Linked DNA regions of Diceros bicornis minor. The protein of the gene in region 2 interacts with the protein of the main gene of each other region in a biochemical or structural test. Links are inferred from orthologs where the notes say so. Each region holds a gene or a part of one and is shown on either strand. Other genes may lie near its edges.

What was found.
Region 1: the proteins of SNTB2 (region 2) and PTPRN form a complex in vitro, tested with the Homo sapiens proteins (2 studies listed by BioGRID and IntAct). The link is inferred for Diceros bicornis minor from reciprocal best matches to the Homo sapiens genes SNTB2 and PTPRN.

What each region holds. Positions count from the first base shown.
Region 1 is NC_080776.1:9,600,199-9,612,103, forward strand, and holds the start of PTPRN (receptor-type tyrosine-protein phosphatase-like N), read right to left. Parts: upstream 5,572-11,905; 5' UTR 5,563-5,571; coding exon 5,448-5,562; intron 4,177-5,447; exon of another isoform or gene 4,106-4,176; coding exon of another isoform or gene 4,000-4,105; coding exon 3,949-3,999; intron 3,713-3,948; coding exon 3,599-3,712; intron 674-3,598; coding exon 577-673; intron 1-576. UniProt on the Homo sapiens protein: Plays a role in vesicle-mediated secretory processes. Required for normal accumulation of secretory vesicles in hippocampus, pituitary and pancreatic islets.
Region 2 is NC_080771.1:20,698,612-20,710,627, forward strand, and holds the start of SNTB2 (beta-2-syntrophin), read left to right. Parts: upstream 1-6,119; 5' UTR 6,120-6,153; coding exon 6,154-6,733; intron 6,734-12,016. UniProt on the Homo sapiens protein: Adapter protein that binds to and probably organizes the subcellular localization of a variety of membrane proteins. May link various receptors to the actin cytoskeleton and the dystrophin glycoprotein complex.

The DNA.
Region 1 (11,905 bases), on a different chromosome or scaffold from region 2:
CAGCTTGCCCTGTTGCCCTTGTGTGCATGTCCCCACACTTGGCTCTCCAAGTATACATTTAAACATTCAATACTGTGCCCTCTTTCTCCGCGCCCCCCACACCCCGTTCTGCCTTCTTCATTCTGGTCTCATCATCTGAGCCCCATGGCCCTCATTTACTTTCCTCTGCTTTACAGGGTCTGAACAATGCCTTCAGAGGCTCTAGCCACAAATAGATGGTGGTATCTTCCACCATATGCAATTCCACATAGAAATGAAACTGAACTTCAAACAACTTCAGTCCAACAAAATTCTAATTAGTCCCATGATGACTACTTTGATGCTTCTTTTAAAATATCAAATATCCAAGTTTTTCAAAACATGTTTTTAATGCCTCTGTTTTGCTGAATCCCCAGGGATGAGCTCAGCTCCTGCTGGGCGTGTGAGCATGTCAGAGGACCAGTCCTGGACCTCTTTTACCTGCTCCTCAGCCTGCTGACCTAGGTGCCCACTTTCCTCCTCCTTCCCTCCATCCATCAGGAAGACCACAGGCCCACCAGCCTTGCCATGCTAGAGTTGTTGAGAAAGGATGCCTACCTGTCCCTTGGACGGGGCTCTGGGGGGCGAAGCCTGGGGATGCGTTCCATCTCCTGGGAGATCACGTACTGGGTGAGGTCATCATGCCAGGACAATCCTGCCAGGGGACAGGATAGGCTGAGGTTGGCTGGGGATAGTCGGAGGGCCCAGTGGAAATCAAAACTGCACTCCAGAGCCTGCAGTGTATTGAGTTTGGCAGAGCAGAGGGGCAGTGGAGGGGGTCCAGAGACCTGGTCGGTGATCTGAGCTGTCGTCTTCCCACACTCAGGTACAGACTTTGGAGTCAGACTTCCTCCAGTCAGACTGGATTTGAATCCTCAGTAATTTACTAATTGTGTGACTTTGAGCAAATTGCTGAACCTGTCTGAGCCTCAATTCTCTCATTTGTAAAATGGGAGCTTATACCTCCTAAGAGTGTTGTGATAATTAAAATAATGCAATATAAAATGGTTAGAATAGTGCTTGTCACATAGTAAACTTTAAACAGCTGCTATTACTATTATCGTCATAATATTATTCCTATTTTTCTTCTTTTAGTTGATCCTGAACCTTAGTTTTCTTTGCAGTAAAGTGGGAATAATACATATTTCATGGGGCTGTCGTGAAGATCAAGCACAATCAGGGAAATGAAAGAGCTTAGAAAACTCTAAAGCACTGTACTTGTTTTAAGTATTCTCCTCTATCATCATCATCACCATCACCATCAACATCAACATCATCATCATCATCATCATCTCATCCCGAGGCAGATCTCCTGTTCGACCCTTTCCCCTCATGAGACTGCTTTCAGGAAAAGTCAGTCACCTATTCTAAAGGAATAATCTGCCACTCTCCACCCCCATTCCTTCTTCCTTGCTTCTGGATTAATAGTCTATATTGCTCTTAACTCATATTCTCGGATCCACTAGCATTCATACCTGCCTTCTTGCCTATTAACATTAGATGAACTATCTGTGTTCCTATTTAAGGCCGATTCCTCCACTTGAGCATTAGATTTCATCTTCTATTACCTACTCAAGAACATCTTCCCCACAATTCTGCCTTACTTCCTACATCATCATTTCTTCCTGTTCTCTACTAAATTATTCCCAAATATGATGCAATTTCCTCCATCTTAAAAAAATACTGCTTGACCCCACATTCCCCTCCAGCTATCACCCCATGTTTTTGTTTTCTTTGCAGCAAGACTCCTGGAAAATATTATCTATACTGGCTGTATACAATTCCTTTCCTCCCATTCCCTCCTAATCCACTCTATTCGGGATTTTATTCCCAACTATTCTACTGAAATTGCTTTCACCAAGATCACCAGTGACTTCTGCATATCTAAATCCAGTGGTCAATTCTCAGATCTCATCTTACTTAACCTACCATCATCATTCAACACTGTTGGTCACTCCTTCCTCCGTGACACACTTTCACTTCATTTCAAGGACGCCAAACACTCTTGTTTTGCCTCCTACCTCACTGGCTGTTGTTGGTTCCTCTCCTTCTCCTTGTCCTCTTAATATTAGACTTCTCTAGGGCTCTTCTTCATATTCATTCAATTCTTTGGTTATCTCATCCACCTCATTAGTTTGATTACCATCTACTTGCCAAGGAATTCCACATTTATGTCTCCACTCCAGACCTCTCTCTCTTTCAAAATCCAATCTCATATACTCAACTTCCTACACTACTTGAATGGATATCTTAAACTCAGTATATTCAAAACTAAACACCCCCTCTCCCAAGTTGGTCCTTCTGCATAGTTAATGACATCTCCATCAACTCAGTCGTTCAGGCAATAAAACCTGGGTGTCATACTTGACTCCTCTCTTTCTTTCACAGCCATATCCAATATTTCATGACATCGTGCTCACTACCTTAAAAATACATGTAGAATTATGTCATTCCTCACTACCTTCCTGCAACCACTCTGGTCCATGCCACATTCATCTCTTACATGAGTTATTGTGGTAGCTTTTAATGGTCTCCCTGCTTCTACTTTTGACTCCCTATAGTCTATTCCTAACACAGCAGCAAGCATGATCTTTTTAAAGTAGAAGTGAGATCATGCACCCCTATGCTCAAAACCTCGTGATAGTTTCCTCTTTTACTCAGAGTAAAGCCAATGTCCGTACATTCTCCTACAAGGCCCTACAATGATCTGCATCCCTTCCCCCATCACCTACCTAACTGCATCTTCTACTATTCCTCTCCATCCCTTATCTACAGCGACACTGAAGAGGTGTTCTCCATGGTGTGCCTCAAACTCGTGCTCCTGCTTTAGGGCTTTTGTTCTAGCTTTTTGGTCAGTTTGAAACACAGCCCCCAGATAACCTTCTGGAAAACACTCCCACCTCCTTGATATCTTCGTTCAAATTTTATAGTCTCAATAAGGTCTATCATTTTGACCACTTGATTTAATACTGCAGCTTCCTACCTCACCATTTCTGATCCCTTTATCCTGCTGTAATATCTGGTTTTTCCATGGCACTTATCACCTTCTAACATACTATATATTTTCTAATGTATATAGTGTATTCCCTCCCCTCACCCCCTAAATGTAAGCCCCAGTAGGCAGAGATCTTTCTCTATTTTATTCCCTGATACATCCCAAGCTCCTAAAACTAAGCTTGCCACATGGTAAGTACTCAATAACTACTTATTGAATGAGTGAATTGGACGAGTGAGGTGTGCTCCTGGCTGAGGACTCCAGGATTCATGGCTCTGGAGCACTTGGACAGTTCAGGGAGTGGGCTGATTCTAAGGAGATGAAAGCTGGCCTCTTCCAGTGGCTTCTTCTAGAAGCCTCCTCTAGATTCCTACAGAGAGTCTAAGTGTGAAGAGCCCATCTCTAGGATTCCACCTCTACTCCTTTCTTGCCCTCCTCTGCAGCAAAGTCTGGGAACGTGAGGCTTCAGAGTGGGTGTGATAAGAATGTTTCATGAACAGAAAGCCTTGAGTCAGGTGGCTCCTCACTTCCCCACCCTTATCTAACCGATCCCAATGTCTCTCCTCCAATGCACATAGACCTCACCTTGGGACATGAGCTGTCGAAGCACACCTTGTAAGCGCTGAAGAACTGGGGAGGTGACTTGCAAAAGGGGCCGGGCCTGCCCCACTCCCACCTGGCACTGTCCAAACAAGCCATCTAAGAGCACAAAAGTCGTGTCAGCAAGGGGCTTGGACAAGAGGCCTTCCAAAGTCCGGGTTGAAAATAGGCAGCACTCTCTCCATCTCCTCTCCTGGCTTCAAGGAGCTCTGCTCCTCTAGGCCAGTCCCCCATCTCCCCAAGGCCAGTACCCCTTCTCCCTTCCAGGCTTCCCCCACACTTCTTTCTCATTGTGTCCCCCGGTCTTGTAAATCCTGTGCCTGGGCCTCACTCACCCTGAATGCAGACTTCCAGGTGAGAGCAGAGTCTGCGGTCAAACAGACAGCCTGTAGAGGGACAGGTGAACAGACGCTCAGACAGCCACACACATAGAACGGTCAGATGGATGGACAGGCTGGGAAACAGGGAAGCAGATGGGGTCCATTCTTTCATTCTAAGGAAGGCTTTAAGCTGGGAGGAGAGTAGGGAAGAGGCCTAGAGTTCTTAAGAAAAGGAAGCACAGGATCTGGTTTTGGATTTCAAGGATCTGCGACTCTGGATCCTTTCTCTAAAAGCCTCACTTTGCTTAACCGAGTGGTGGAGAGAAGAAGCCTCCCAGGTGCATGGGGGTGGTGATGGTGAAGGATCATATACTTCTACTCTCATAGAATTACTATGGCGGAGTTTTGGGCCAAATTCTGAGGGAAAAGGGGATTTCTTTCCCAAATCTCCAAAAGCATCCTAACTATGATGGCCTGGGACTCAGAAGAGATGGCAACCCTAGCACACCTCCCCTCCGTGTGGGAAAGGGTAAAGGTGGGTGTCTCTAAGGCAATGCTCCCCACACGGTCCCTACTATCCGCGGCCCCATTGCCGCTGGCGCTGTCCGCGGTGCTGAAGCGCTGAGCCTGGCGCCGCCGAGAGCTCGCCTGGAAGCAGTTATGGGGGAGGGAGGGGTGACAGGGCAAGGAGTCTCCACAAGATCTGACCCCTCCGCCGTTCCAGACTTCATCTTCCACGTTACCAACCCACAGCGCCACAGGAAGTATCCTGCCTTGGCCTCCAAGCCCGGTGGGGAAGAAGGGCGCCAGACGGAGAGGCTGCGCCCCTTCCCCCACGCGCCCCCCGCCCCCACTCTCCCCCAACCCATGAGTCAGCGCTGACTGTCTCTGTCCGCTCAGATGTGAGTCAGCGCAGGGCCTGACTGTGGGGAGGGGGACGGGAGAGGACCCTTCCCTCTTCACCCTCTTCTGCCCCCTCCCCCTTATGTCCCCCTCTGGTTGGAAATCAGATAGCAGCCATTGGCCTCTCTAGGCTTAAAGACAAACCCGGCCCCTCCCTCGGCCTGATCCTCTTCTGGGAGCTGGGACCCTGATGCTCGAGCCACGGTCTCCTACTGCTAGATCAGGGTTCCCTCTCCCTCCTTCCCCCCCGCCTCCATCCTTCAGTTCCAGTCACCACTTCTCTGGCGCCCCGGTGCGACTTGCTTCTCCCCTGGTCTTGCAACCCCTCTCTAAGTCCCTCTGGCCATATGCACCCCCATTCCTCCTCCCAAACCAGCAATCTTCCCCTGAGCCCGCTTCTCTTAGGTCCCGCCCTCGTATTCCCAGCCCCACCTCCAGGCCTACGCCCCTTTCCTCTCAGACGCCCTCTCATCTTCCTCGTCTCACAGTGCCTCCCCTTACCCCACTCCACACATATTCTACCTGAGCTTCCTACCGTCTTGACACTGCCCCCCACCTGCCACTGAGTTTTGCTCCCGGCACCATCCCCCTACCCCCCATTTCCTCCTGACCGTGGGCACTAATGGCGCTGCAGCCTCCCGGGCGGCTGCTCAGCAGCAGGAGGCAGAGGAGCACCCGGAGACCCCCGGATGCCCCGGGACCCCCAGGCCGCCGCGGGCGCCGCATCCTTCCAGGCTCCGCGCGCCGGCTCAGCTGCCAGAGCCGCAGCGACGCTGGCCGGAGCTTGCCAGAGGGGCCAAGGCGGAGCCTGCCACTCCCCACCCACCTACGAGGCGGGGTCTATACGCCCCTCTCGCGGCAACTTGGCTAACCCAGGGCGGGTGGTGACGACATCTCCACCCCCGGCTCTTACGCTTATTTGCGTCATGCGTGACGTAAAAGCACCGTCTTAGCGGGGGACCTACCCACCCCTTCCCTCCTCCTCCAAATAGTAAGCGCCTCACTAGAATTCGCGCTTGGCCCCGTTTCTTTCGACATACGCTTCTCCGCAAGGACTACCACCTCTATCACTCAGTCCCAGGGTTGGCGAAAAGGGTTCAACTGGGTGGGGGCCGGGAAAAGGACGTGAGTGGGCTAGTATAAACCCTAAGATGAGGAGCCAGAATAGGTACTCTTGCGCATCTCAATTAATGGTACCGGCGTCATCCTTAAGAGCAGGAATGGTTGTGCGTGTGTGCCTGGATTCCAGTTCTAGCAATGCCACCTCCTGGAGGTGCTACTTTGGGCAAGTTGCTTAACCTCACTGCGTCCAAGTGTCCTCATCTGTAAAAGAGAGGTGTTAATAGTACCTCCCTCTCAAGGTGGTTGTGAAGGTTCCATGAGTTAAACTCATGTGGATCACTTAGGACTTTGACTGCACAGGCATAGATGAAACACTTGCTACATACTCGCTTTTGTTATTAGCCTCGACTCTCCTTTCTGTCGCCCTCTCCCACCAAGAGCCTATCAACAATCTTATCGTTTCTGTCTGCAAAATATACCTCCCATCAGTGTACTTCTCTCCATACTCGCTTCCCTGTCTAAGCCACTGTGCTCGTTCATCGCGAATATTGCGGTAATCATCTGACTAGTCTTTTGCTTCCACTCTTGTCACTCCATAAGCTCGTGAGTGAGCTTTCTCAAGTTCAAATTTGATCAATTTATTTTCTTGCTTTTCAGTAAAATTTTTCCAAAATACAAAAAAAGATACCAGTGCAGAGTAAATACTCATACACTCATCATCTAGACTTGACAGTTGTTGATATTTTGCCATATTTGCTTCTTTTTAATATTTAAAAGTAAATGATAGACATGTTTCCCTTATTAATATTTCAATATGTATCTCCAAGAAATAAAGACATTTCCCCGTGTAACCAAAATGCCATTATAACATCTACCAACGTTTACAATAATTCTCTAGTATCATTTAATGCTCAGTTCATATTCAAATTTCTCAAATTATTTCCCCAAATTGCCTTTTTTAGCTGTTTTGTTCAAAATAGGAGTCAATCAAAGACCACCATTGCATTTGGTTATGTTTCTTAATTCTCTTTAAATCAGCATAGACACGGTTCCTCCCCGCTCCTCTCCCATTTTTCACATTGTCTTGTTGAAGAGACCAGGTCAATTTTTCTTTACATCTCCTCACCCTCTGGATTTGCCTGATTGTTTCATCATGATATATATTCCTGCATTTTCCCTGTATGTATCCTGTACATCCCCTGTATTTCCTGTAAACTAGAAGTTCTATCTAGAGTCTTGATTGGATCAGGTTAAAAAAAATTTTAAAGCACAATTCTTTATAGTTGATGCTGTATGCTTCCAATTGTGTCATTTCCGAAAATGCATAATGTCTGGCTGTCCTACTATTAGTGACACTAAAATTGATCACTGGTTTAAGGTAAAGGCAGCCAGAGTGCTGTAGGTAAGGTTATGTTTTCCTCTTGTGACCAGTCTGTAATCTATGGGATGATATTTTGGCATTGTGAGAATATCTAGTTCCCGTCAACTTTTCACCTAGTAGTTTTGCCATTCATTGATGATCCTTGCCTAAATTATTTCATTAGAGGTTACAAAGTGGTGATTTTTCTAATTTTATTTTTCCTTTAACATTTATTAGTTGATATTACTTTGTAAAGAAGAGCTTTCTGTCATCAGTTGGGCTTAGTTATCCAAGAAATACAATTCCAACTGGAAAGGTAACATACATTCTTAATTTTTTCTGTTTAGTTACCAATTTGCCAAGTAATGAGTTGGTATAATAGTTACCTCCTACAGTGGCAAATAAATTTTTAAAAGTATTTTTATGATTTTTTGATTGAACATTACTATGGAAGTATGGATTTTTATATATTCAATGTGTATCAATCAATCCCAGTAATTATCCTTTTTGATGCTCAAATTGTCGCAGAGTAAATCAGTGAAAACTCCTTTAAATGGGATCTGGTGTCTTTTTGAAACATCCCATTAGTCACTGACAGCTTCCTTGCTTTCTATCACTCCAAGATGTTCCAGGTTTATCTTTTTTATTCCCTGCCCTAGACATGGAAGCAGCCGCTCTTCCAAAGAGACTTGATATCTTTTAGTAAGGACTGATTTTAAAGACTGCAATCTGAGTTTCAGGGGTGATAGTGGCTACTGAGATGATGCTGCTTCTAGGCCCTTTCAGTGCACAGAGCTAGGATATTAAGATACACACACACACACACACACACACTGATATTGTCAATTAAAATTTAACTGTGATTTTTACTGAACTCTTGATTTTATGCTTGTATCTATTCTTTCACGCAAAAATTTGGTTTCTAATGACATTAATATGATCACTTATATGTTTTGTTTTGTTTTTGTGAGGAATAATAGCCCTGAGCTAACACCTGTTGCCAATCCTTCTCTTTTTTTGCTGAGGTAGAGTGGCCCTGGGCTAACATCCGTGCCCATCTTCCTCCACTTTATGTGGCAGCCCTACCACAGCGTGGCTTGATGAGCGGCATGTAGGTTCACGCCTGGGATCTGAACCCGAGAATCCCGGGCCGCCAGAAGCGTGAACCCTGGGCCGCCAGAAGCAGAGCACGTGAACTTAACAACTATGCTGCCAGGCCGGCCCCCAATCACTTATGTGTTTAATCCTACAATATGCATACAATAATTTACAAATAATAACCTTACTCTACTAATAAAACAATGAATATGTTTAAAACTTTTGGTAGTTTATTTTGTCCTTAGAACCTAAGGATGCATGCTTAGGTTATAAAACTGTGAAAAAAAGCAAAGAAACACAGATTTTGGATTATCCCCAATCTTGGGTTATTGTGAATAGTGTGACTATATATACTCTTGTACATGATTCCTGTTGCACATGTGTGTTGGGGGAAGCAGACAGGCAGTAACAACCTCACAGGGAGGAAGCTGACGAAATAAATACCCTCTCCTCACTCTCCTCATTCCCTCCCTCTGATCTCCTTCTAGGTATTCCCATTGTCCTAACCTAACCAGAATCCAGAGGAAGAGGGAGCTCATTGAAGTAGTCCATACAGGTCAGCCCCTTGGGACAGAAAACAAGGTGAAGAGAGATGGAGAATGGATCCTAGGGGCAAACTTGAGGTATCTGCTCACTTGATCCCCTTCTCCCACTTTTTTGTTGTTGTGGGAGAAATTGTCTGTCAGCATAATTGTTACTCTTTTGTAGGTCACCTGTCTATGTCAACAGTTTTACTAGGTTGTGACTAGGGAGGGATTTCTTTTAATTTATTCTCTTTGAGATTCAAAGAGCTTCTTGAATATGTGGCTTGATGTCTTTCATCAGTTTTGAGGCATCCTCAGGTATTATTTCTTTAAACATTGATTCTGTCCCATTTTATTGCTCCTTTATTTGTGGCACTTCAAGTAGATATATGTTAGAGTTTCTTGTGGTATCTTCTATGGTTCTACCTTATCTTTTGTATTTTCCATTTTTTGTCTCTTTATACTTCATTCTGGATATTTTATTTTGAACTATATTCCAGTCAGTAATTTTCCCTTCAGCTGTGTACAATCTGATGTCTTGAACTTGGCTAGAACCAGAGGGCACACTCAATCAGAGTAAATAAGAAGAGTTTAATGAAGGAACTATTTATAAAGGTATGGACAGGTAAAAGAATATAGACTTTTGTCAACTCACAGATGGTCAGGGAGGGCGCCAGAGGAATACACACCTTGACCTCTCTCCTTTTTTGCCCTTTGATCTCTTGCCAATAGCTACTGTTGGCCAAATTCAACCAGGAGTCAGTGAGCAAGGACCTCTGGTTGATGCAGTCCAATGACATCAACCTGGGAACATAGAGCAGGGTGAAGAATGATGGAGCGTAAATATGGATGGGAAAATGGGGACTATCTAGCTTAATCCTAGCTTCCACTCTTGTCATTCGTTTGGATGAAAACCTTGTACCCTTATGACAAGCGACGCACACATCCCTTAATTCAGACATGCTCTCATATGAAACCTAAAACATTGTCCAAAGCCAGTGCTCCCATTATAAAGTGCAGGGAAAAGAAATGGGAGAAAAAAAGAAACTTTCATGCCAAGTTACTTTAAACACAGCTGCTACAATCCCTGCTTCTGTAGCTGGTCCTGAGACCTAAGTTGATAATTGCAACTTCCTTATTCTCCCACTCATTTCATGGTCTTCTTACCTTGGTCAGCATCTTGACTGCATGAGATTTTTGAGCCAGTGGGTTGAGCCAAATCTTTATTTCTGCCAGATCAGAGTCTTTGATGTTCCCAGCTTTATTTGGTTTCTGTAGTTTTCTATTGAATAGGTACTATTGCAAAAGAGAATACAAAGAACCCAAGTTCATCCCTTTGGTTCAGTTATAGCATTTCTTTGCCCTCATTTTATAGCAGCAACTCAACTTACCCCTGGTAATTGGAATCAATCACTGTGGCTAATATAGCGACACCCATATCTGTCTATCGGTTCAGTGGCAGGAGGAGTCCAAAGTGATCAGGTGGTAGTCTCAACTTCCAGTTTAACGTAACTACGACTGCAGTGAAAGCCTTCCTCCCTTGGGCACTGGGATCTGAAAACTCATCATTTGGGAGATGGGAAGCAACCATTCCTTCAGAGATTTTGAAGTTTTTGAAGTATAATAGTGAGAGGGGCCATTCTCACCTTTACTCCTTGGTTCCAGAACCCTTAGGGGTGGATAAAGCATTCTGTAAGTTCACTAATGGTAAGTGAATGCTGCCAGAAGTGTTATAGACAGGAAAGGCAAATCCATATCCAGAATATAAATCACTGCCCCTTTTCATGGTGAAAGGAATTCAGAATAAAAGTCTGTCACGAAGTGCACCATATTGGAGGCTCCTTTGCTGTTGGCAAATTGGTATGCAGGGCTGGCTGTAACCATATCATTCTTGGGGAGAGAAATCCATGTTGTTAAGCCCATGTATAGCCTCACTCCAGGCCACCATATCCATTGGTACATGGGCCCGTTAAGAAAGCACCAGGGTGGCTGGGGAAAGAGGATGATTGACATCCACGTTATGGGTCATTTCATAACCTGATTATTGACAAGCTTCCCCATAGTCTGTGCCTTCTGATGGTCATTTATGTAGGAAATCACAACTATCTTCACACTCTGTGTCTATTCCAAGTGATCCATCCCAGACTTCCTTATCATAGATCTTTATGTCTTATTCTATTCAAATCCCAGGTCAGCCAACCAAAGTGTTAACCATAAACACTATATTAATATAGATCCGTATCTTGGTTCTCCTCTTCTTGAATTCCAGGTGGACAACTAGATCTACCAACAAAACTTCCCACAGAGATGATTTCTCTTCACCAATGTAATTCACAGACACTTCTGAGTTGGGCTGTAATATAGCAGCCTTCCACTCTGGCTGTTGCCTGCTTTTTGTGCAGACATCTGTAAATTAGCTCTGTGCCTTTTTCCCCCGTCTGTTAGCTGGTCATAGAGAATTCCCCATGAGGCCATAATAAGGTTGTGAGAGGGAATGAACTGGTAAGAGTCTGAGCTACTTGCTCATGCAACTTACTTGGTCCATCCGGATCTTCTTAGGTCCAGCCTCATATATACCATTTCCATTTAACAATGGAATGCCATGATGAACCTCCAGTTTTATGATTTGGCGGATCAGATAATACCCAGTTTGTAATTACTTGTTTTCCCATGGCCAAGTGTTCGGTATGCCAGTGCCTGGTAGAAAACTAGGAGCTGCTTTTCAAATGGAGAATAGCTGATGGCATAAGAGGGCACAGTGTTACTCTAAAATCCTAGGGGCCTACACTATAACAATCTAACAGAGGCTTGTCAAAGGATTCATATGACATCTCGGTCTGCCAGAGACACTTCCAGTGCTGCTGAGACCACTGGGTCATAATTATCAAGTGAAAGGGTTGCTTGCATTGCAACCGGGAACTGCTGCAGAAACTTTTCTTGCTTCAGGCTGTACTAGAAGCTTGATGGGTTACTGGTAAATGGTAGCTGGTCCTGAGGTGTACGTTGAATGTGCTACATTCTGAGT
Region 2 (12,016 bases):
GATATTACTAGCCACAGGTGGCTGTTGAGCAATTGAAGTATGACTGGTGTGACAAAGGAACTGAATATTTTATTTAATATAAATAGCCACATGTGGCTAGTGGCTTTCTTATTGGACAGCACAGATCTAAAGGCTTAGCTTTGTGTCAGTCCTTTGTCTTTAGGAAGTTACAGAACTTAATACTCAACATACATTTGTTGAGTGCCTACTATATGCTGTGCACCAACAACAGATGAAAGATGATCTCAGACCTCAAGAACTTCACAGCCTAGTTGGGGAAAAAAGTAGATCAACATTAGAGATGAGCACAGAGAAGGGGCACCTAACCAGTAGGGTTAGGAAATAAGGTTAAAGGTAGGAGATGGTCCTTGAACTAATAACTCTTAGAACTGAGTAGTAATTAGCAACATGGAAGGGAGAAGAAAAGAGGCATTCCAGGAGCATTCTCAGTGCAAAGGCCTGAAGCAAGAGAGAACATAGCCTGTCCAAGGGACTGCCAGTAGTTCCATGTGGTTGAAACAGCATATATTGGAAGTAGGGGAAAATGAGGCTGAAAGGGCAGGCAGGGCTTGCCACAGTGCTGAGAGCATCCGCGTCTCCTTCAGGAAAGCTTGCCCCTTGAGGGTGACAACTTCCCTAGTTGATAGTAACTAAGAACCAGGTGAGGTTTATAAAAAAGGTGAGAGAGTTTTCCACAGAGGAAAGCTAAGCAGTTTAGAAAAGTATGGAAAAGAGAAGTAGATTTGGATACAGACCTCTTAAGCCAACCTGTAGTGAGAAATAAGACCAGCTTGGAGTGGGCCTTGAAGTCTATGGTTAAGAATTTTTGTTGAGTGGAAAACATAATTGTGAACCATTCAGATTCAAAGGAATGGCACAGTAAAAATGCCCATTTGTGTAAGTAAGGGGCAGAAGAGACTGGAAGTTAGGGGAACAAAAAACAGGCTGTTGTGTAGGTTTTTGACTTGGGGTCTATATGTATTAGTTTGCTAGGGCTGCCCTAACAGTATCATAGACTGGGTGGCTTAAACGACAGAAATTTATTTTCTCCAATTCTGGAGGCTAGAGGTCTGAGATCAAGCTATCGGCAGCGTTGGTTTCTTCTAAGGCCTCTCTCCTTGGCTTGTAGATGGTGGTCTTCTGGTGTCTTCACGTGTGTCTTATAAGAACAATAGTCATATTGGATTAGGGCTCACCCTAATGACCTCATTAAACTTAATTACCTCTTTAAAGACCCTATCTCCATGGGGCCGGCCCCCTGGCTTAGCAGTTAAGTGCGCGTGCTCCGCTACTGGCGGCCCGGATTCAGATCCCAGGCGCGCACCGACGCACTGCTTGTCCGGCCATGCTGAGGCAGCGTCCCACATACAGCAACTAGAAAGATGTGCATCTATGACATACAACCGTCTACTGGGGCTTTGGGGAGTAAAAGGGAAAAAAAGGAGGAGGATTGGCAATAGATGTTAGCTCAGGGCCGGTCTGCCTCAGCAAAAAGAGGAGGATTGGCATGGATGTTAGCTTAGAGCTGATCTTCCTCAAAAAAAACAAGACCCTGTCTCCAAATATAATCACATTCTGAAGTACTGGGGATTAGGACTTCAACCTATAAATTTTGAGGGGACACGATTCAGCCCATGACAGAGTCCATAGAAGGGCTTCAGGGGCTTTGTGAGCCCCCAAGTGTGAATGCTGAATTTTGCACAGGTGTGCATTTGTCTAAGGTGTGTCCACAACATGCAACTGACTCCTAAAGGGGTCCGTGATCCCCACACCCCACAACTGGCTGTTGCATTAACTGACTTGGGAGGCAGTTAAAGCTGTGGGACAAAGGCCTAGAAATACCATCTGCATCGATAGACATGATTTGGTGTTCAATGGTATATGAAAAATGAGAGTTGAAGCTGACTATTAGGACTGTAAGTCTTAATTCTGAGGCACTGGAAATTCTGTTAGAACTGGTATTGGGGGAAAGGGGATTTTTATTTTTGGACCTTACTTGAATTTCGTGGCAAATTATGTAATGTCCATGATTGTCAATAAAAAACACTGGTGATTTTCCATAACTAAGTGGATTCAATGAAACTAACCTTCTGCTTATTATGTCCTTGCTAATATTTTCCTAAAAAGAAAGTCACAGAGCTACAAAACTGTCACCAGCTGCTTCTCATTAGGAATGTGGTTAGCAGATGTGGGTTTTCATAGTCATAACGTATGAGATAGTTAATCCATTTTTGTGGTTTTCAGATGGATGATGATTTATCTTGGCAGGATGAATTTTTAAATGTGCTTACATCAGCTAAAGGATATATGCACCTTTCCCTCTTTCACTTCATGTTTGTGCGGGAGAGAAAAATACCTTTTAGGTTATTTCTCCCGGAAGGCAAAGGAGTACTGTCTGTTGAAAGGGACAATTGATCTCACTGTCTTCTAACTGAGGAAGAGTTGTGTGTGGATAATTTTGCAAAGTTAGGTGTTGGATTGGTTATCTTACAAGCTTCTTTCTCCCTTTGGCCTCTTCTTTAGTAGTAATTGAGCAGTTCTTGCTTTTGTTCCTCTGGCGTCAGGCCGCCTCTGTGGTAGTGACCTTCAGGCTTGCTAAGGGCTGCAATTTTGCCTGGGGCCCTCCTTCCTTATGAAATTGTGTACACAACACTCAAACCTTGGAACCAGCCCCAGATCCACTAATTCTTTGCTTTGACGGACTCTTGGCAATATGTTCTCCCTTTCAGCTGAAGTGTAGCTTTATACAAGATCTGTTTGTCACCGAAATTAATTTGGCCATTTGCCATTTAAGCCTGGAATCATATGATACTATGGCAGACTCATTCCTAGATAAAGTCTAGACTCTCAGCTGCAGAGTTTCTACCAAAGGTTTTATTGTTGCTGCTGCTGAAGGTCAACAGGTAATATACCAGCAGCAGGTACTTTTTATGGACCTCTTACCCTGTACAGGTACAGTGCTGCTAAACGCTTTGCATATGTCATCCCAGTCAACCCTCGCAACTGCCCTTAGAGGTAGAAGGTAGCTGAATTTTTCTGAAGAAGAAACAGGCCTGTGACCTCAACCTTTTGACCGTTATCGTATATACCTAGTAAGTGGCCAAACTACAATTTGAACCTTGTGCTCTTAATTACTGTGCTATATTGTACATCCACTGTGAGGGAGAAGAAAAAGAAAAGACCACTGGTTTTTGAGAGAGCATAGAATCAGAGCCTGAGTCATAGAATTGTAGGAAATTATGGAACTGAGAGAGCTAATCCAACCCCCTCATTTTAAAGTAGCAGTGATCCCTGCCTTGTTCTGAGAAATCGTAAGATAACAGCTTGAGCACAGGAGAATACGTATTGATAGGTGACAGGAATGAAGGGTTATGAGGAATTATCTCAGCCATTTCCTTTTTTAAAGGTAGATAAAATAACATGCCTGTTCAAAGAATTATCTAAGCTTGTCTTGCTGTCCCTAAGAAACCGTGGACACAGATGTGTACTCTTTTTATTTCAGATTTCATTATCCACAGTAAGTAGATTTCCACTGACTACTTGAGATTTCCTAGATGGTAATTTTCACTCTGCAAGGAACCAGTAACCTTCAGAAGGATTATTTGAAACGACTACAGCACAGGAGGCACTGAATTTCAATCAATCACATGTTTAATGAGTTCCTTTTCTGCAAGGCAGTATTTTTGGAATAGTGGGGAATAAAAAGAAGTCGATGGGTGGTCCCTGCCTTCCTGTATTTTATAATCTACTGGGGCAAAACAGCCAAGCGTAGAAGAAAATTGTTCAAAGGAAAAATTGGGTCGTTGGGGAAAACTGGGCTGAGATCTTGCTAGGTGGGAAAGTGGTAGAAAGCGGCAGGAGGTGTTTGGAAGGAAGGACTCAGGAATGTGCAAGGCGTCATTGAGAGACACTGACTGGATGAGTTTGGCCGATCAGAAAGTAGTGATGAAAGAGAATGTTGAAAATTAATTTAGGTTCTGATGGAGGACCTTGTAAAAGCAGCTCAATAATTTGGGAATGTTTTATGGATATATTTAAAAATAATTTTTTACGTAGAAACCCGCAAGTAATCCAAATATCAATCTCCATTACTTTCTCTCCTCCCAGGTTTAAATATTATGTTATATAACTTACTATCTTATATATAAGCACCCTCACTTACCATTTAGTTGGAAGATCTATGACTTCCTCCAACTCTCTTGACCAAAAGGTCTTCATACTCTTGGAAGGAGTTTCCAGCTTCCCTTTTGCTAATAAAGGTGTCCTCAAGTGCCCAACCCTTTGTGAATATGTATATAAAAGTGTTGAAAATAGTGCTCATACTCTAAGGGATCAGCTGCCAAGTGCTCTCTAATAAGCAGAAATTTCACATAACTCAGGCCTCTGGGGGCTCATGCCTCAGCTGGAGAAAAGCCAGAAGTGTCTGTGACTGCAGGTGCGCTGGGGCACATTGGGACCTGCCAAAACAGCTAGCTGGCCTCACTGCAATTGATTTAGGAGAGGGCTAGAGGGTTGAGCTGCTGACATTTGCAGCTCGGAAAATCCTGCTCCATTAATTGCAAAGAAGATTCTGCTGTAATGATTTTTTTGGTAAGATACTTTTCTTATTTTGAATTCTTCCTTCATTTGGGCTCTGGTTGCTTTCCAGTCTCTATTTTTATGGTTTTAACTCCTGGTATAGGAGGCTGTTTGGAAGTTTCTGCCCATACATGCATGTGCATTCATAGAGTGGTGCGTGGACATGGCTTACGAGCTTCAACATGTACTTCATGAGCAAGCAGGTATGCAGCCCCTTTTACAGAAATTGGTGCACATTCCTTCTGCTTGCACCAAATGAAAACGTGAGGATTTCGATTTTATTGCTGAAGGAAAGTTAGACGGCACCTTGAACTCATGTTTTTGCTAAGATCTCTCTCAGCAGTGTGATTTCTGGACCCTCATTTTTGAGGTCTGAGGAATGTAGTCAAGAAAAGCAGTGGACCAGGAGGTGGGAGACCAGACAGTTGTCTCTGCTGCCTCACTGTGGGCTTGGAGCTCGAGTCTTGGGCTCTCCAGGCCTCAGTTTCCTCTGCTCTTCCAGCCCAGGAAGCTGGAAGAAGTGGGTGGATTGCATCACCCATGTCTTAGGATAAAAGCCACTGCAGGCTCTGCAGTGTGCATACAGTTTCTGGGGATGCTCATCTACACTTACCCCAACAAAGGGCCGTGGCCTCCAGAGTAAGAAAGTCAGATCTACAAATTCAAGTCCAAACACTCCAACATTTGATTATATGAGGCTTTTCACACTCATATCCTGCCATCTCCAGGGACCCGATGCTCTGTTCACGTTGGAATTCTGGCATCTTCCTAAGTAATCATCATTCTGCAAATATCTTTGCGGCCAACCTATTGTGGCTGCAGGGCTGAAGAAGACATGGTGCCCTCACACATTGCAGGTAGGAAAACAGGTGATTACAAAGCAGAGTGACAAATGCTTTGATTCATGCCTCTGGACCTTTGCTTATGCAGTTCCCTCTGCTCCACCTATTCACCTTCCATTGTCACCTCTGTGCAGCTGACCTCGGGCCCAACCAAATGTTTCTTCTACTCTGCTCTCAGAGCGTTGTCTAGATGTCACTTAACCACATAGTATCACACTAGGTTGATTGGTTCTCCGTTTTCCTCCCCCACTAGACCGCCAGCTCTCAGCTGTGGTACGTTTTATTCAGCTCATCTCCAGGCCTCAAAAGGAGCACACGGCGAAGCACTCAATAAAGACGGAATGAACCAATCAATGCAAGAGTGAACGTGCAACCCAGTCTTGCAGGCTTGCAAAGTGCTTCTTGAAGCTGATGTTGCCTTCCGTGCCCAGGCAGCTCCGGTGAATTGCACGGTAGAGGTCAGGAGTTTGCGGGGGCGGGGGGGTGGTTGTTGGAGGCGAAAGGAAGGAGAACGCGAGACTAAGCATCACTGCGCTCGGGCTGCCCACGTCCGGTGAGCCGCAAGGGACTGGACTGCGGGCAGCTACTTAAGCTCCCGGAAGCGGCTCGGCCGGCCTCGCCCCTCCCCTCCGGAGGTGGGCGTGGCTCATGAATAATGAATCACCGCCGGGGGGAGGGGGCCGGCCCGCCCCCTCGAGCGGGAAGAGGGAAGCGCCTAGGCTGCCTGACTGGAATGAGGGTAGCTACGACGACTGCGGCGGCGGGAGCGGGGCCGGCCATGGCGGTGTGGACGCGGGCCACGAAAGCGGGGCTGGTGGAGCTGCTCCTGAGGGAGCGCTGGGTCCGGGTGGTGGCCGAGCTGAGCGGGGAGAGCCTAAGCCTGACGGGCGACGCCGCGGCGGCTGAGCCCGAGCCCACTTTGGGGCCGGCGGCGGCCGCCTTCAACGGCCTCCCGAACGGCGGCGGCGCCGGAGACTCGCTGCCCGGGAGCCCGAGCCGCGGCCTGGGTCCCCCGAGCCCGCCCGCGCCGCCCCGAGGCCCGGCGGGCGAGGCAGGCGCGTCCCCTCCTGTGCGCCGGGTGCGGGTGGTGAAGCAGGAGGCGGGCGGCCTGGGCATCAGCATCAAGGGCGGCCGCGAGAACCGGATGCCGATCCTCATCTCCAAGATCTTCCCGGGGCTGGCGGCCGACCAGAGCCGAGCGCTGCGGCTGGGTGACGCCATCCTGTCGGTGAACGGCACCGACCTGCGCCAGGCCACCCACGACCAGGCCGTGCAGGCGCTGAAGCGCGCGGGCAAGGAGGTGCTGCTGGAGGGTGAGCGGGGCCGGCGGGCGGCCTGCGGGCGGGCGGCGCAGGGCTGGCCGTTGCTCACTTTGTGTCTGCCCCTTTTGGGGAGCGAGCCCGCTCCCCCTTTCCGAGTCCTCGCCTTCCCCTCTGCTGGTGGCCCGGCTCTCCCCAGACCCGATGTGCAGGGGCTTTGAGGATGGAAAAACTGATGCTCCCTGCGGGAAAAGTTGGGCAGCCGCCGAAGTGTGGCTTGCAGTCCCTAAGGAAGACTCGGTTGCGATTTAGTAAAAAGCAGGCGCGCCTGAAGCCCGCCTCTGCACGATAAGCTGACACTAAGAACTAGAGGGAGACCGAACGGCTCGAGTTCTGGAGGTCTCCGTTTGCCTCCTGAGAAATGCCGGGTCGGCATTTTCATCACTCACCTCTGGCTCCCCGGGGCGGGCAGCTCTGTTAAAAAAAAAAGAAAAATCAGCCCCACCGATGCCAGAGGTATTCTTGGGCAAACCACCAAAACGCTGGTTAATGTGTGGGAATTTAACCCATCATTGGCTCTCAACAATAACCAAAGGAGATCATAGCACTTCATTGAAGCCAGAAAGCTGAAACAGCAAGTTTGTGTGGTTAATGAGCCTTGTTTAACAGTGGAGGCTCACGTGTTTGAACATTTACTGCCAACTAGAGTTTTGCCTCTTTTGCAAGAGGCTAGTGCCAACTTCCTACCATTCACAGGCCTGCTGCTTCAAGGCTTTAAGCTTTTTAGAAGCTTGAAATGTTAAATCTCAAGATATATTTGAATATCCAGGATTGTTTACCTTAAGTATATATGTGATCTATAACCTGGATCTTTTATGATGAATTTATGGAACTAAGACAAAATTAAATCTCATCTCGTTGAAGGACTTATGCATGTTGGAGGTGATAAAGTATTGTAAGTGTGATCTGAAAAGCCAGTTGCTTGCTTCAGAAATTTTTGAGCCATCGGCTTTCTTTTGCTGTTGATTCAGTCGCTCAAGAAGCATTTATTGCTGGCTGTATAGAAGAGAATATAAAAGGTGATGTGTCTCTAGTTGGAGAAATGATAGAAAAATGCAAAATGTCTTACAAGTTATTGATTATATAGTGTAAACTGTATATAAATGCCAAGGGAATGCAAAGTTAGGATGTAGTTAGTGGAAATCAGGATTAGTCAGGGAGGACTTTTTCAAGGAGCTGAATCTTGAGCCAGGTCTCCAAGGAAGTGATGGACATAGACAGACAGAGATGAGTCAGGAGAGTATTCCTAGCAGAGGAAGAACAGAAGGGAAGGGGTGGGGAGTAGGGGTAGGAAGGAACCAGTTATCAAACTGAGAGGCCAGAAGTCCAGCTTGGCAAAGTGATTTTCACTTTTTTCCAAATCTGCTTGTAAATATTTGGAAAAATATTAGTTTGCAAGTAAGTGATTTAATGTGCTCCAATTGTGAAATTCCAGTGTCCCACCTTTATAGTATTCTATTTATAAATCTTATTTATATCTCACTTATAGGTTGGGCTAGACACTGCTCAGAAATTAGTGTTAATAAAAGTAAAATTATAGATTGTGGCTTGGGTGGTGCATGTGTAAAAAAATTGTTACCGTAAACGTGTACCTTGAGGGGCGGGCCCCGTGGCTTAGGGGTTAAGTGCACGCGCTCCGGTTAAGTGCACGCGCTCCAGTTAAGTGCACGCGCTCCGCTGCTGGCGGCCAGGGGTTTGGATCCCGGGCACGCACTGACGCACTGCTTCTCCCGCCGTGCTGAGGCCGCGCCGCACATACAGCAACTAGAAGGATGTACAACTATGACATACAACTATCTACTGGGGCTTTGGGGCAAAAAAAAAAAAAGGAGGAGGATTGGCAATAGATGTTAGCTCAGGGCTGGTCTTCCTTAGCAAAAAGAGGAGGATTAGCATGGATGTTAGCTCAGGGCTGATCTTCCTCACACACACACACACAAAAAAACAAAAACATGTACCTTGAAATTGGTCTAGCTAAGCATTTGGTTATAAATTCCTAGAGTCGGAATATTGAATGTAGTACTATTTGTGTAGTACTCAGTGGTGATGGTCAGACATTTCAACTCTTTACACCATATTTTTTTTAAAACCAGTTTTTGTTTAGATATAATTTGAACATGGTATTCATACCAAGTAAATGAAAATCATCTATCAAATGCTTCCCAGTATTCATTAGTCTAAAATAGGCCACATGTGCCTTTAGAAGGAGTTTACAAATGGCAGCATAATAACATATTTATTGAATGCCTTTTTACCTAACACAGCTTCTACTTTATTTTCCCATTTTGTAAGAGACAAGCAGTTTTTGTCCTTACATGTGTGGCGAAGTATGAAATTGCACTTTTAAGCCAAGGGATATAAAAATAAAATTACTTAAAATATGCAGAATCATTGAAAACAGTGATTTCATAGAACCAGTCAAACATTATTTAAAATCGAGAGCTGGTATCTCATCCAGGTAGATCACTTTTACAAAGACAGATTTTATGCTTAGCCCTTAAAGTTTTGGAACTCTATTGTCTTTCCATTGGATGTCTCAAAAGTTGAAAAACTGCCTTAACATAGCACACCGATGCTCTTTCGTGGTGTGGGCAGGGAATTTCAGGCATGCCCTTGCCACCCCCAAGCAAAGGAAAGCTGTAGTCTCTGGTTGCCTGTGTTTAGGGAATTGAGCTAAAGGGTTCCTTTTTATCTTGTGGATTTGTGGAGATTATTCATTCATACATCAGACATTTATTCAACTCTACCATGTGCCAGAGGCCTTTGAAGATTCCTCATTCCTGCCTTCAGGAAGTTTGGAGTTGATGTAAGAGAGAGATAAGAAATAAGTACAGCAAAGGGCTAAAAGCACTGTTGTTATAGAACTCTGGAGAGGGCTCAGCACAAAGGAAGGAGAGATCTGTAAAGACTGTAGTGGAGTTCAGAGGTTGAGGATGCCCAGGAACAGGTTGATGGAGAAGTTGAAGCTTGAATTGAGCCTTCCCCTGAGAAAGCTGTCGCCATTTAAGAGACACAAGTGAGAGACATTAAGAAGTTATTCTGCCTAGTGAGGGTAGACAAATGAGGGCTTTGTGGTTAGACAGACGTGAGTTTGTTTCTGGCTGGTGGTTTGTAACCCCTAGGCAAGTTACTCAACCTTGCTAAGCCTTAGTTTCCTCATCTGTAAAACCAGGATGATAATGATTCCTCCCTCAAAGGGTTGTTATTCATTTGATAATTTATGTGCTGGGCGCTTTTTTAGGACTGAGAATACAGCAGTAAACAACACCAACAACAACAAAAAACAAAGTCTGAATGAGGAAGGTAGGACTGCGTTATGAAGGTATGCCAAGAGTTAACAAAGACACTGTCAGAAGAGCTAGGATAACAAGCTGTTAAAATCCAAGGCTCCATTTTACTTGAAAAGAAATACGTGATAAGAATAAGAATTATTTTAGGTGAACAGGTTAAGAATGAGTTTGCATTTCTTGCATGCAAACAGCTTTTTCCAATCATGTTTTCCTATTTTTCTATCATTTCTCGTATAGGCCAACTTTTTTATCCTTAAATTTTGAAGTTTAGTTTCCCATTCCTCTGATTTTTCCTCTTCCTTCACACATACTACTCAGAACCTTAAAACTTGCCATTAACTGTGTACTTGTAGTTTTGGCTAGTGACTGTCATTGTTCCAGAGGTTAGGGAAGACAGTATAAAGTGCCCAGCTTCAGGTTTGATGTTTGAGAAAAGATCAGTATTTTTGAAGCAATTCTCATTGGAATGTTGTTGGAAAATGATCTTTTACTGCCTCAATATGATTCTAAAAGTATTGTTATCAAATCTACTGAAAAGAAAATGGTTAAGTCTATAGAAGAAGTAGACCGGCATGAAATTTAACTTCAGAATTGAAAATAATTTATGTATCTAGAATGGTTTGAGATTTTGAGTGTCATATACAGTATGGCTCTTTCTGTATGTTAGGGGACATGTAACAAATACTGCTGACTTTATTAGGCTGCTAAGTTAAAGAAACTAGTTTGGATTCCTGCGCTGTCACTTTTCTTGGTTGTATGTTGGCCAAGTTGAGAGCCTCCTAGGGAAAAACGTTTTACATTTTCTTTGGACTTTGCATGCATATTCATTAATCTGTCTCATAAAGAACAATGAAATTGTCAGGACGTTTGTCTCTGTGTTTGTTTCTTTTTGTTTAACTAGCCTCTTTATGTTTCACTTGAATGATGAGACATGTTTATATGAGAAACTGTGTCTTTGTAACCAGATTATTTCTTGCAGAGTCCCTTTCATGCTAAAATACGCCCTCCAAATTATTATCAAAATATGAAAAGTTTACTGATTCTAATACAGAGTGGTTATGAAAATTCTAATAACATTTTTAGAAACCGTAACGAGGCTTTAATTTAGATCTCAACTGATAACTCAGTAACTTCAACTGATATATTCCCTGCTCTGTAGTCCTTCCGGGATAAAGGTGACTTTATTTTGTGATCATGTACGTCTTTGTACATAAGGGATGAGGTACAGCCTGTGGCTGTGAACAGTGTTCTGCTGTGAACACTGTTCAAGGATCCAGTCACTGTCCTTGGCTGGGTTAGCATGCTATCCTAACTAATTGAAGAACGAATAATGCCGCTTGCTTGCATTTTCCACTAAATAGTATAATAATGTCTTACATTTTTATCAGGATTTTTAAATTATCTATTCATTTTTATCTGTATTTTCTCATTTGACCTTTATACAGTCTTTTGAGGTGGTGGGCTGTTTATCTTTATTTTACAGATGATTACAATGAAGTTCATTAAAGTTAAGTGAATTATCGAAGGTCTTAGAATTTCTCTTGATTTTTAGGGGAAAAACTTTAATGTTTCCTTTGGGCAAGACGAAAAATGTTACCTGAAAGTTAAAAAGTTGTAAAGTCTCATCTTCCAGATGAGAAATTAATGACCAGGGAGGTTTAGCAGCATATTTAAGGTCACCTAACTGATTAGTGGTGAAACTTGAACTAAAACCCAATCCAGTGCTTTCTGCCTTGCACCATGCTGACTGCCTACAACCAGTCAGTCAGATCTTTTAGCATTTGCTATGCATCATCATGTTGCAATGTGCTGTGAGAAATCAACGTGCAAAAGAAGTTGAAGGTGGTCCCTGGCATCAAAGACCTTAGGTTGAAATCAGTGAGAGAAAACTACCACATAGAAAGTAATTGCTAAAACACTCTTCAAGAGTTCTCTGAGCGGAGTGATCAGTTGGGGGTTGGAAGAGTTGAGTAGGACTTCATGGGGA